Linked DNA regions of Canis lupus familiaris. The protein of the gene in region 1 interacts with the protein of each later gene in a pairwise test. Links are inferred from orthologs where the notes say so. Each region holds a gene or a part of one and is shown on either strand. Other genes may lie near its edges. The genes, in order: EML1 and ISG20L2.

Region 1 (3,901 bases):
GTCTCTGACGGCTGTTGTGGCTGCAGCTCTCCCCCACCCCGTCTCCAGAAGGCAGTTCCTTTGAAACATGGTAGCCTGGGCCCTCCTGTCTTCACACCCCCAAGGTCTCTGAGCTGGAAAGGCCTCAGTGCCTTTGAAGAGCGGCTGGATGCCTCTGATACTGTTCCACACCCCTCACATTTTCCTGAGGCTTGTGGACCCTCGAGCACCAGCATCTGCCCCCTCTTCCAAGAAGCCTCCCCTGACTTCCATAGCCCTTTCACAAATATCAGCCTCCTCTCCTTGGGATGATCGTGACCTCCTGCCCCTGCCGGGGATGCCTGCCAGTCTCCAATCAAGCTTTCCTGGTTCTTATCTATGCACCTGCTGGTCTCTTTTCCTGGAATGCCCTCTCTCCCCCTGAAAAAACTTTCAGATTCCTCACAGACATAACTCAAATGCCAGCTCTTCCAGGAAGCCCTCCAGTATTGGGGGATTCGGGTTGATGACCAGCTTCTCTCCTCTTTAAACCACTTCACTCCTTCTGCACCCTGCATGCAGACCCGGGTAGACCTCGAGTCCCGGAGTGGGGGGCCCAGTGACACCCAGTCCAGAGCTGACGCCCCTGGGAACGGAGCCCAGAGCCCTCTACTTGCCTCATTGCCCTAGTCTCTGGCCCAGGCCCTTGTGGGGACCCAGGAACAGGACTGGGTTACCTCTTAGGCAAGCACGCAGCAAGCGCATACTAAGTGCTTGCTGAGATGTGTCCTCCCAACCAATATTTCCTGAGTGCCCACTCTGTGCCCGACATGGGTCACACAGCTCCCCCAGGGAGTTCACCTCTGTCCCCGCACAGCACCCCCAACACACGTGGAGCGGTCGGCACCCAGGAGGTGCCCCGAAGTGGCTGCTCACGGTCTGCCAAACAAAAGCAAGGGCCACGCCTTCCTGTAGCCTTGGAGACAGACAGTCGGGCTCCAGAGTCTGGCTCTGGTCACACCCCTAACTGGCCGGGTGGCCTTGGGTGGGTCGCGGCTGGTCATGGAGAGCTGAGTGGGTGGACCAGCGTGGCAGCACCAGGCACGGACTCAGCGGGTGGCATCGCTCCGTCTTCTTCTCTAACGTCCAGAAAAGCCCCTGGTTGGCTGAGTGGAAGCATTCCCAGGGCGAGAGGCTCGGGCATTCTGGGGTCTCCAGGGCTGGGGCTGGGGGCCGGGGACTGACCAAGCACCCTGGGGTGCAGCAGTTACTCAGGCAACATTCCGAGGCTGCCCGGGAGAGGCCCAGGGCAGGGGAGGGCAGTGCCCAGATTTATCCACCAATCCGGCGGGCTCCTGGCTCTGGAGCACGTTCTTATCTGCCCGGCCCAGCATGGGGGGGCGGTGGGGGCCGCCGGGCCGGCTGGGGCGGGAGCTGCCTGGGGACTGGACGCGGAGCAGGCCCGGCAGCCCAAGCCCCACCAGGTGGGTGACGGCCACTGACGGCTCGGAGCGGCCCTGCGGGCTGGTGGCCGGCTGCCCGCCCATCCCCTGCACCATGTCGGACGGCGAGGGCCCCTCGGCCGGTGAGTGGCAGCGCTATATTTACCCGCCGCGGCTCCGGTTGCAGAGCCAAGGCTGCTGGTCGCTGAGGGCACCGGGCGCCCCCGCCCCGGGCTGCAGGCAGCTGTGGGCTGGACCCCCTTCTTTCTAGCCTGATGCCTGGAAGGGGGACCAGCCTCGCCAAGCCAAGTTCAGCCGCACCCCCCGTCTTCCCGACGGGGCTACACAGGAAGCTGTGCCTGCTGCAAACCCCTCCCGCTGCCAGCCGGGGAGTCCGGAGCCGACCCGCAGCGCAGGGGGCCGGACTGCGCCTGGGCCCCTCGGCGGGCCTGGGGTGCCACGGGCCTGGGGGAGCCTACGGCTTCCATCTGATTCCCCCAAACGTCTGAGACCTCTGGGGAGTTGAGCCCCGGCTCTGCCCGCACAAGGCCGCCTCTCCGTGAGCCCCCGGGTCCTCTAGGGTGGAAGCGGCCAGGGGCACGAAGGCAGAGGGGCGGCCAGATAACGGGGCCTGCCCACGTACCCTCTGCCCTCCCCGGGGCGAGGGGTTTGCTGGGGACTGGCAGGCCACCCTGGCTCCTACCGGTTGAAGGCGAGCTCTGGGAAGACGTCCCTCTGAGCTGGCAGTGGGTGGGGCAGGGGCTGCAGGCAGCCTAATCCAGGCTGCCCGGGTTCGAATCCCAATTCTTTCGTTTCTAGATTGGGTGATCGACCTTGGGCAAGCAGCTTAACTGCTCTGAAGCTCAGTATCCCCGGGTGAAAAAGGGGACAGTGGTAACAGTCCCTACCCCTCAGGTGCTTGTGCAGATTGCAGATTGTGATAAAGTGTGACAGCCTGATGTGCCGTGAACGCTCAGTGATGGCCCCGCGAAGCAGCAGGTGGAGGGTCCTGGGCAGGAGCCCAGGGGCACGGGAGCCTCCCTGTCTGGCCCCTCCAGTGGCGCCTTCTTTCCTAAGCCTCTGCCCATCTGGGGTCCCCTGGATTTCTTATCTGTCCTGCAGCCCCGTGGAGAATCCTGGGCATGTCAGGCAGTCCTGGGGGTCCCGGGGTGCTTATGATTGCTGGCAACGTGACACCCCCTGGCGTGGTGTCTGATGGACGGTCCTGGCGCCCGGGCCTGGCCAAGTCAGATTTGGAACAGAGTGTGTGTGCGTGTGTGTGTTGGGGAGGGGGACACCGACAAAACTGGCCTGACCTCACCCTCTTCCGCCAGGCGTCAGCAGTGCAGGCTGCCAAGAATTGTCCGCGGAGGAGCCGGTATGGGGGGGCGGGGGTGCCGCAGACAGGCCCTTTCTGGCTGGCTCTGCGCACACCTGACACGAACCCGGAATAGCTCTCTCCCTCCACCAGGGACACGGTCCTGCTTTTAGCAGCTTGTAAAACCACCCGCACGGAGCTGGGTATTTCAGGAAGGCCAGAACAATATTTAGCCCGCCGAGGCGATGGACTGGGTGCTGAGCGTGTGCATCTGCGTGTGTGTGTGTGTGTGTGTGTGTGTGTGTGTGTCCGGGAGGCTGGGAGGAGACACAGCCTTTACCTCCCCTTCGCTGCTTAGGAGAGGGTCAGCTGGGCTGGGGCCGGCAGGCATGGTCATGGCTCTGCCCACCCTGGCTGGGCAGGTCACCCCGGGCGAGCTCGGGACTTGGCTTCCCGCCTGTCAAATACCGTGGCCTGGTTTTCGTCTCTGCTGCGGATCATGGGAGGCAGGAGTGAAAGAACACCTGGGTGCAGGTGTGTGCGTGTTTGTTGGGGGGTGGTCTCCTGGAATGTGTCATCTGAAGTTCAAGACTTTCTAGGATTCCAACCCCACGACAGAGATTGGGTCCAGGAGGCTGCTGTGAAATATTTCTACCTATTTTCCGAAAGCTATCTCTGGACCTGTGTCTCCAGCGGGAAAGTTCGCCGCCGCCCCCACAAACCCCACCAGCCACCACCTGTGTGGCTGTGGGCGGGTTCCTGGAGGTCATGGTGCCTCAGTTTCCTTATCTGTTCCGTGGAGACAATAACAGGACACTAGCTCCTCAAGTCCCAATGAGGATTAAGTGATCAAAAGTGTGTAACCCGCTTAAAAGAACGCCAGGCTTCCTGTGAGCAAGTGTGACTGTTACTACTGTTCAACCAGTAAGTGAGCTGCAGCCGAAGAGGAAAATGAAGGGGACGAATTAGGTGTTGTGTCTTGTCCTGGCCACTTCAGGGACATCGCTTGATCCCTGGAGCGGGATACATGAACTTTGCTGTACAGCTGGGGAAACGGAAGCTCAGAGAGGCAAATAGACCCAGGTGGCCCAGCTGGTACATGGTAGAGTTAGGATTCGAACCCAGCTCCCCAGGCCCAAACTAAGGGCCCTGTCTGGGAAATCCCATCCTGCTCACCCCAGGG
Region 2 (3,901 bases), on another chromosome or scaffold:
ATCAATGAAGGAGAGAGCTGGACCAAGGATGCTTCTGGGTCTGGGGGCTGACAGTCAGTGGACGCTGGTGCCACTCATACATCAGTGCATTTACTCTTCAGGTGAGCCCTCCGACGGGGATTACTGCGGCAGCTGAGAAACCCGGGCTAGGCGGAGTTTCTTCAGACGCCTAAGGCTGGCCCAGTAAAGGAGGCAGCTGGTCTGTCGGCCTCCAGAGCTCTCACTGTCCCTACACTGATGAGCCAAGGATTGACTCAAAGCTCGGGTGAAGAAGCACCTCGCACGTTCCCGGCAGGGCTCTGTGGTCCACACTTTGACCGTGGACTTGGGACGGTAAGAAAAACTACCTGTGTACTAGGAATGTTAACAGGTACGGGGCGGGGGGAGACGGGAGACGGTTCTAACCCTCTCTCGCACAGACACTAGGCTGAGACGCATAGAAAGCCGGAAGCCGGGGATCCCTGGGTGGCGCAGCGGTTTGGCGCCTGCCTTTGGCCCAGGGCGCGATTCTGGAGACCCGGGATCGAATCCCACATCGGGCTCCCGGTGCATGGAGCCTGCTTCTCCCTCTGCCTAGGTCTCTGCCTCTCTCTCTCTGTGACTATCATAAAAAAAAAAAAAAAAAGAAAGTCGGAAGCCTGCGCCCCAGATTCTCCGCCCGCCGGGCGCACCCGCCCACACCCCCCGGGCCTCACGATGATGTAGGCGTCCACGATGGAGCGGTAGCGCGCCAGCACGCGGGTGAGGTTCACAGCCAGCTGCCTCCTCTGCTCCAGAGAGAGGCCGCGCGCCGAGACGCCGGGCATCCCGGGGGCAGGCGGCGGCGTCGGGAGCGGGGCGCGCTGAGCGGAGAGAGCGCCGGAGCCAGTCCCCACGCGGGGACCCTTCCCTAGCAGTCGGCAGGCGCGGAAGACGGGACGCGCCCCTGACGTCACAGGTCGCGACGCCGCGCGGAGGGGGCGCCCCCGGGGGGCGGAGCACCGCGCAGCACGTCACAGAGGCGAGACGCGGCGTCCCGGCTCGCCCCTCCCCGCGCATTTCCCTCCTTCCCCGGAAGTGAGGCTGGCCCCGCGTGCGGCGTTTCCCGCGGGGCGCGGCCGTCCCACCTTCGAGTTGTACCTCCACGGGGCCAGAGGGGCCGGGGAGCGCATCCCGCCCCCGCCGCCCCCCACGCCGCCCCCGCCGCCGCCGCCCCTGCCGCTGCTCACGCACTCAGACTCCCTGGCCTCCCTCCCGGAGGCGGGGGCGCTGCGGGCGCGCGCACGCCGGCCCCCGACGCGGTCCAATCCGCGCGCCTGCCGGCCCGGGCCTCGCCGCCGGGCGCCCACTTCCGCATCCGGCGCCGGGCGCTTCCGCTCGTAGCGGCGTCTGCCGGGAGGTAGGTGTGAGCGTCGGGGGCGCTCTCCTGGGCGGGGACCCCCGCGGCCTGGGTTCCCTGGGCGGCTACATGTGGTCAGGGGGCCTGTCTCGGGAGCAGGGCTGGGGCGCGGCGCCGGCGGAGGGTGACCGGCGGCCCCGGGGGCCGGCCCCGATTGCCGGCATGCGCGCTCAGCCGCTCTCCCCGGGCGGGCGATGCAGCCCCCGCTCCGGCTTTCCAGCTCCGCTTCCGAATGGGACTAGCTCTGGAGAGTGCCAGTGACCCTTCCCAGGCCCTACAGCTGGTGCATTATGGGGCCGCGCCACAACCGAGGCCCTCCTGGCTCACACGGTGCCCCTGACATCTCTCCACGTTACAGATTCGTTCCCACTCTGGGCAGTCGCTCGGATGCCTTTCCAACCTGCAGCCCACGCAGACGGGTCTTGTTTCCCAGGCCTGAAGGCTCTGTGATCAGGCTCCCTTTCTTTCCCAGGGTGTGCTACAGACCTCCAGATGTGGGCCCGTGGGATTCAGCAGAGGATGAGTCCTCTGTCGTGCTGTCATCAGTAAGCCACTCTTCCCAACTGCTTTCCCGCCATCCACTGTCCTCATGTCTACCCTGCTTCTCAATCTGGATTTTGGGGAACCTCCCCCTAAAAAAGCCTTAGAGGGGAATGCCAAGCATCGAAAATTCGTCAAGAAGCGGCGGCTCTTGGAACGGAGGGGCTTTCTGAATAAGAAGAACCAGCCCCCGAGCAAGACACCAAAGCAACATTCAGAACCTATGAAGAAAGGGGAGACTCCTAAGGTGGATGGCACTTGGAAGGTTTCTCCCCTTCCAAAAAAGAAGGCCGTTGCCTCCAGCAGTGGACCAGAGCAGTCCCTGGACAAGAAGACTGCAGTGCCGTGGCTGACACCTGCCCCTTCACAGAAGGCTGGCTCTGCTTTGGCTAAAGTAGATTTGCTGGGGGAGTTCCAGAGTGCCCTTCCAAAGATTAGGAGCCACCCAACTCGCCCCCACAAGAAGGGCCCCCAGAAGAATCCTACTCAGAAGAATGCCCCACAGAATTCCATCCAGTCTCATTCAGACAATAAGTGCTCCGGAACAACCCAGAAAACACCGAAGAAGATGGTGGCCATTGACTGTGAAATGGTGGGCACGGGACCCAAGGGGCATGTCAGTTCCCTGGCTCGATGTAGCATTGTCAACTACCATGGAGATGTGCTCTATGACGAATACATCCTTCCGCCCTGCCACATCGTGGACTACCGGACTAGGTGGAGTGGCATCCGGAAGCAGCACATGGTGAATGCTACACCCTTCAAGGTTGCACGGGGCCAGGTGAGAGGCATGGGGTACGACAGGAGCAGCAAGGTGGCTGCGCTGAGGTGCAGATCCCTTTTCAGCAGAGGATATCGCCCTAGAAGGCGCCAAAGAAGTTTGGAGGAGGGAAGTGGGAGTGGACTGCCAGATGAAGGGTGCAGGCATGGTGAAGGCCCAGAAAGTTACACAGCTAACGGCTGTGCTGAAGCGAGTTAGCAGAGACCGACCTGAACTCCCCAAAGGAATCATCACCTGGGAAACTAGGAACCTAGAGGACTAGGAGCACCACAGGGCAGAGTAGCAGGTGTGAATGGCGAGGGAATGGGCTCGATTTGGGAGTGCCTTGTAGAGATGTAGTTTGGGGTTGAGAACAGAGAGGTGGAGAGGGTAGTTTGGGGTTGAGAACAGAGAGGTGGAGAGGGTTCCCAAGCAAGTGTGGGAAGTGTTGGTGGCAGGAGCTAGGTGGTTTGTATTCTTGGGACAGGTAGCCTGAAGCGGAGGGGTTGCGTGTCGGGCTCTCACCTCAGTCATGAGCAAACTTCTTTGTGGTAGCCCCATGCTGGACCCTGGGAGCATCACAGGACAGGAAAAGGAAGGCGAACCTGGGAGGCAAAGGGAGGAGGTGGAGGGGAAACCAGCTGGTCTTCGGAGGCCTCCAGAGGGCGCCCATGGTCCGTATTTTTGTCTTTTCAACTTCACATTCTTAGTCTTTTTGGGACATGCTTTGTTCCACTAATTCTTTTCACTCCCTGTTAGTTGGAGGCGCTTCATCAGAGGCAAAGGTGCTGAGTTTTAGATAAAAGTACTTGAGAGGTGTGCCACAGGCCACCAGTGAGCAGGGCTGGGAGAGGCAGAAGGTGGGATGGGTCTGAGATCTCGAATCTGCGCAGCTTGAATGAGGGCTGGATGTGAATTAATGTACAGTAGAGGTGTTGGTGGACAGTAAACTGAAGGTGCGGTTAGGAGCAAGCAGGAACCTCATCAGTTGGGCTCCCATTGAGTTTTCGTCATAAATGGATTCCACAGTGCCCATGCCAGGGTGTGAGATGGGTACGTTCAGATGGTCTGGCCCCTTCCAGGGGGTTCCTGCTGGCTCTGCATGGATTGTAGGACTGTGGCTTTTGTTCACAACCTGTTTGGAGCCCTCTTGGGGAATGGCCTTGAGAGCTTGTGCCTTATTCTTGGTTGTCTTTTTGGTTGCATGCCCTCATGCTTTGAGA

Evidence for each region.
Region 2: the proteins of EML1 (region 1) and ISG20L2 interact in binary tests that used the Homo sapiens proteins (3 or more experiments, as listed by UniProt). The two-hybrid records come from large-scale screens. The link is inferred for Canis lupus familiaris from reciprocal best matches to the Homo sapiens genes EML1 and ISG20L2.

Annotation. Positions count from the first base shown.
Region 1 is NC_049229.1:68,515,633-68,519,533, forward strand, and holds the start of EML1 (echinoderm microtubule-associated protein-like 1), read left to right. Parts: upstream 1-1,317; 5' UTR 1,318-1,350; coding exon 1,351-1,543; intron 1,544-3,901. UniProt on the Homo sapiens protein: Modulates the assembly and organization of the microtubule cytoskeleton, and probably plays a role in regulating the orientation of the mitotic spindle and the orientation of the plane of cell division.
Region 2 is NC_049228.1:41,238,878-41,242,778, forward strand, and holds the start of ISG20L2 (interferon-stimulated 20 kDa exonuclease-like 2), read left to right. Parts: upstream 1-1,336; 5' UTR 1,337-1,378; intron 1,379-1,850; 5' UTR 1,851-1,967; coding exon 1,968-2,699; intron 2,700-3,901. Other genes in the region: protein RRNAD1, read right to left, coding at 696-1,038. UniProt on the Homo sapiens protein: 3'-> 5'-exoribonuclease involved in ribosome biogenesis in the processing of the 12S pre-rRNA. Displays a strong specificity for a 3'-end containing a free hydroxyl group.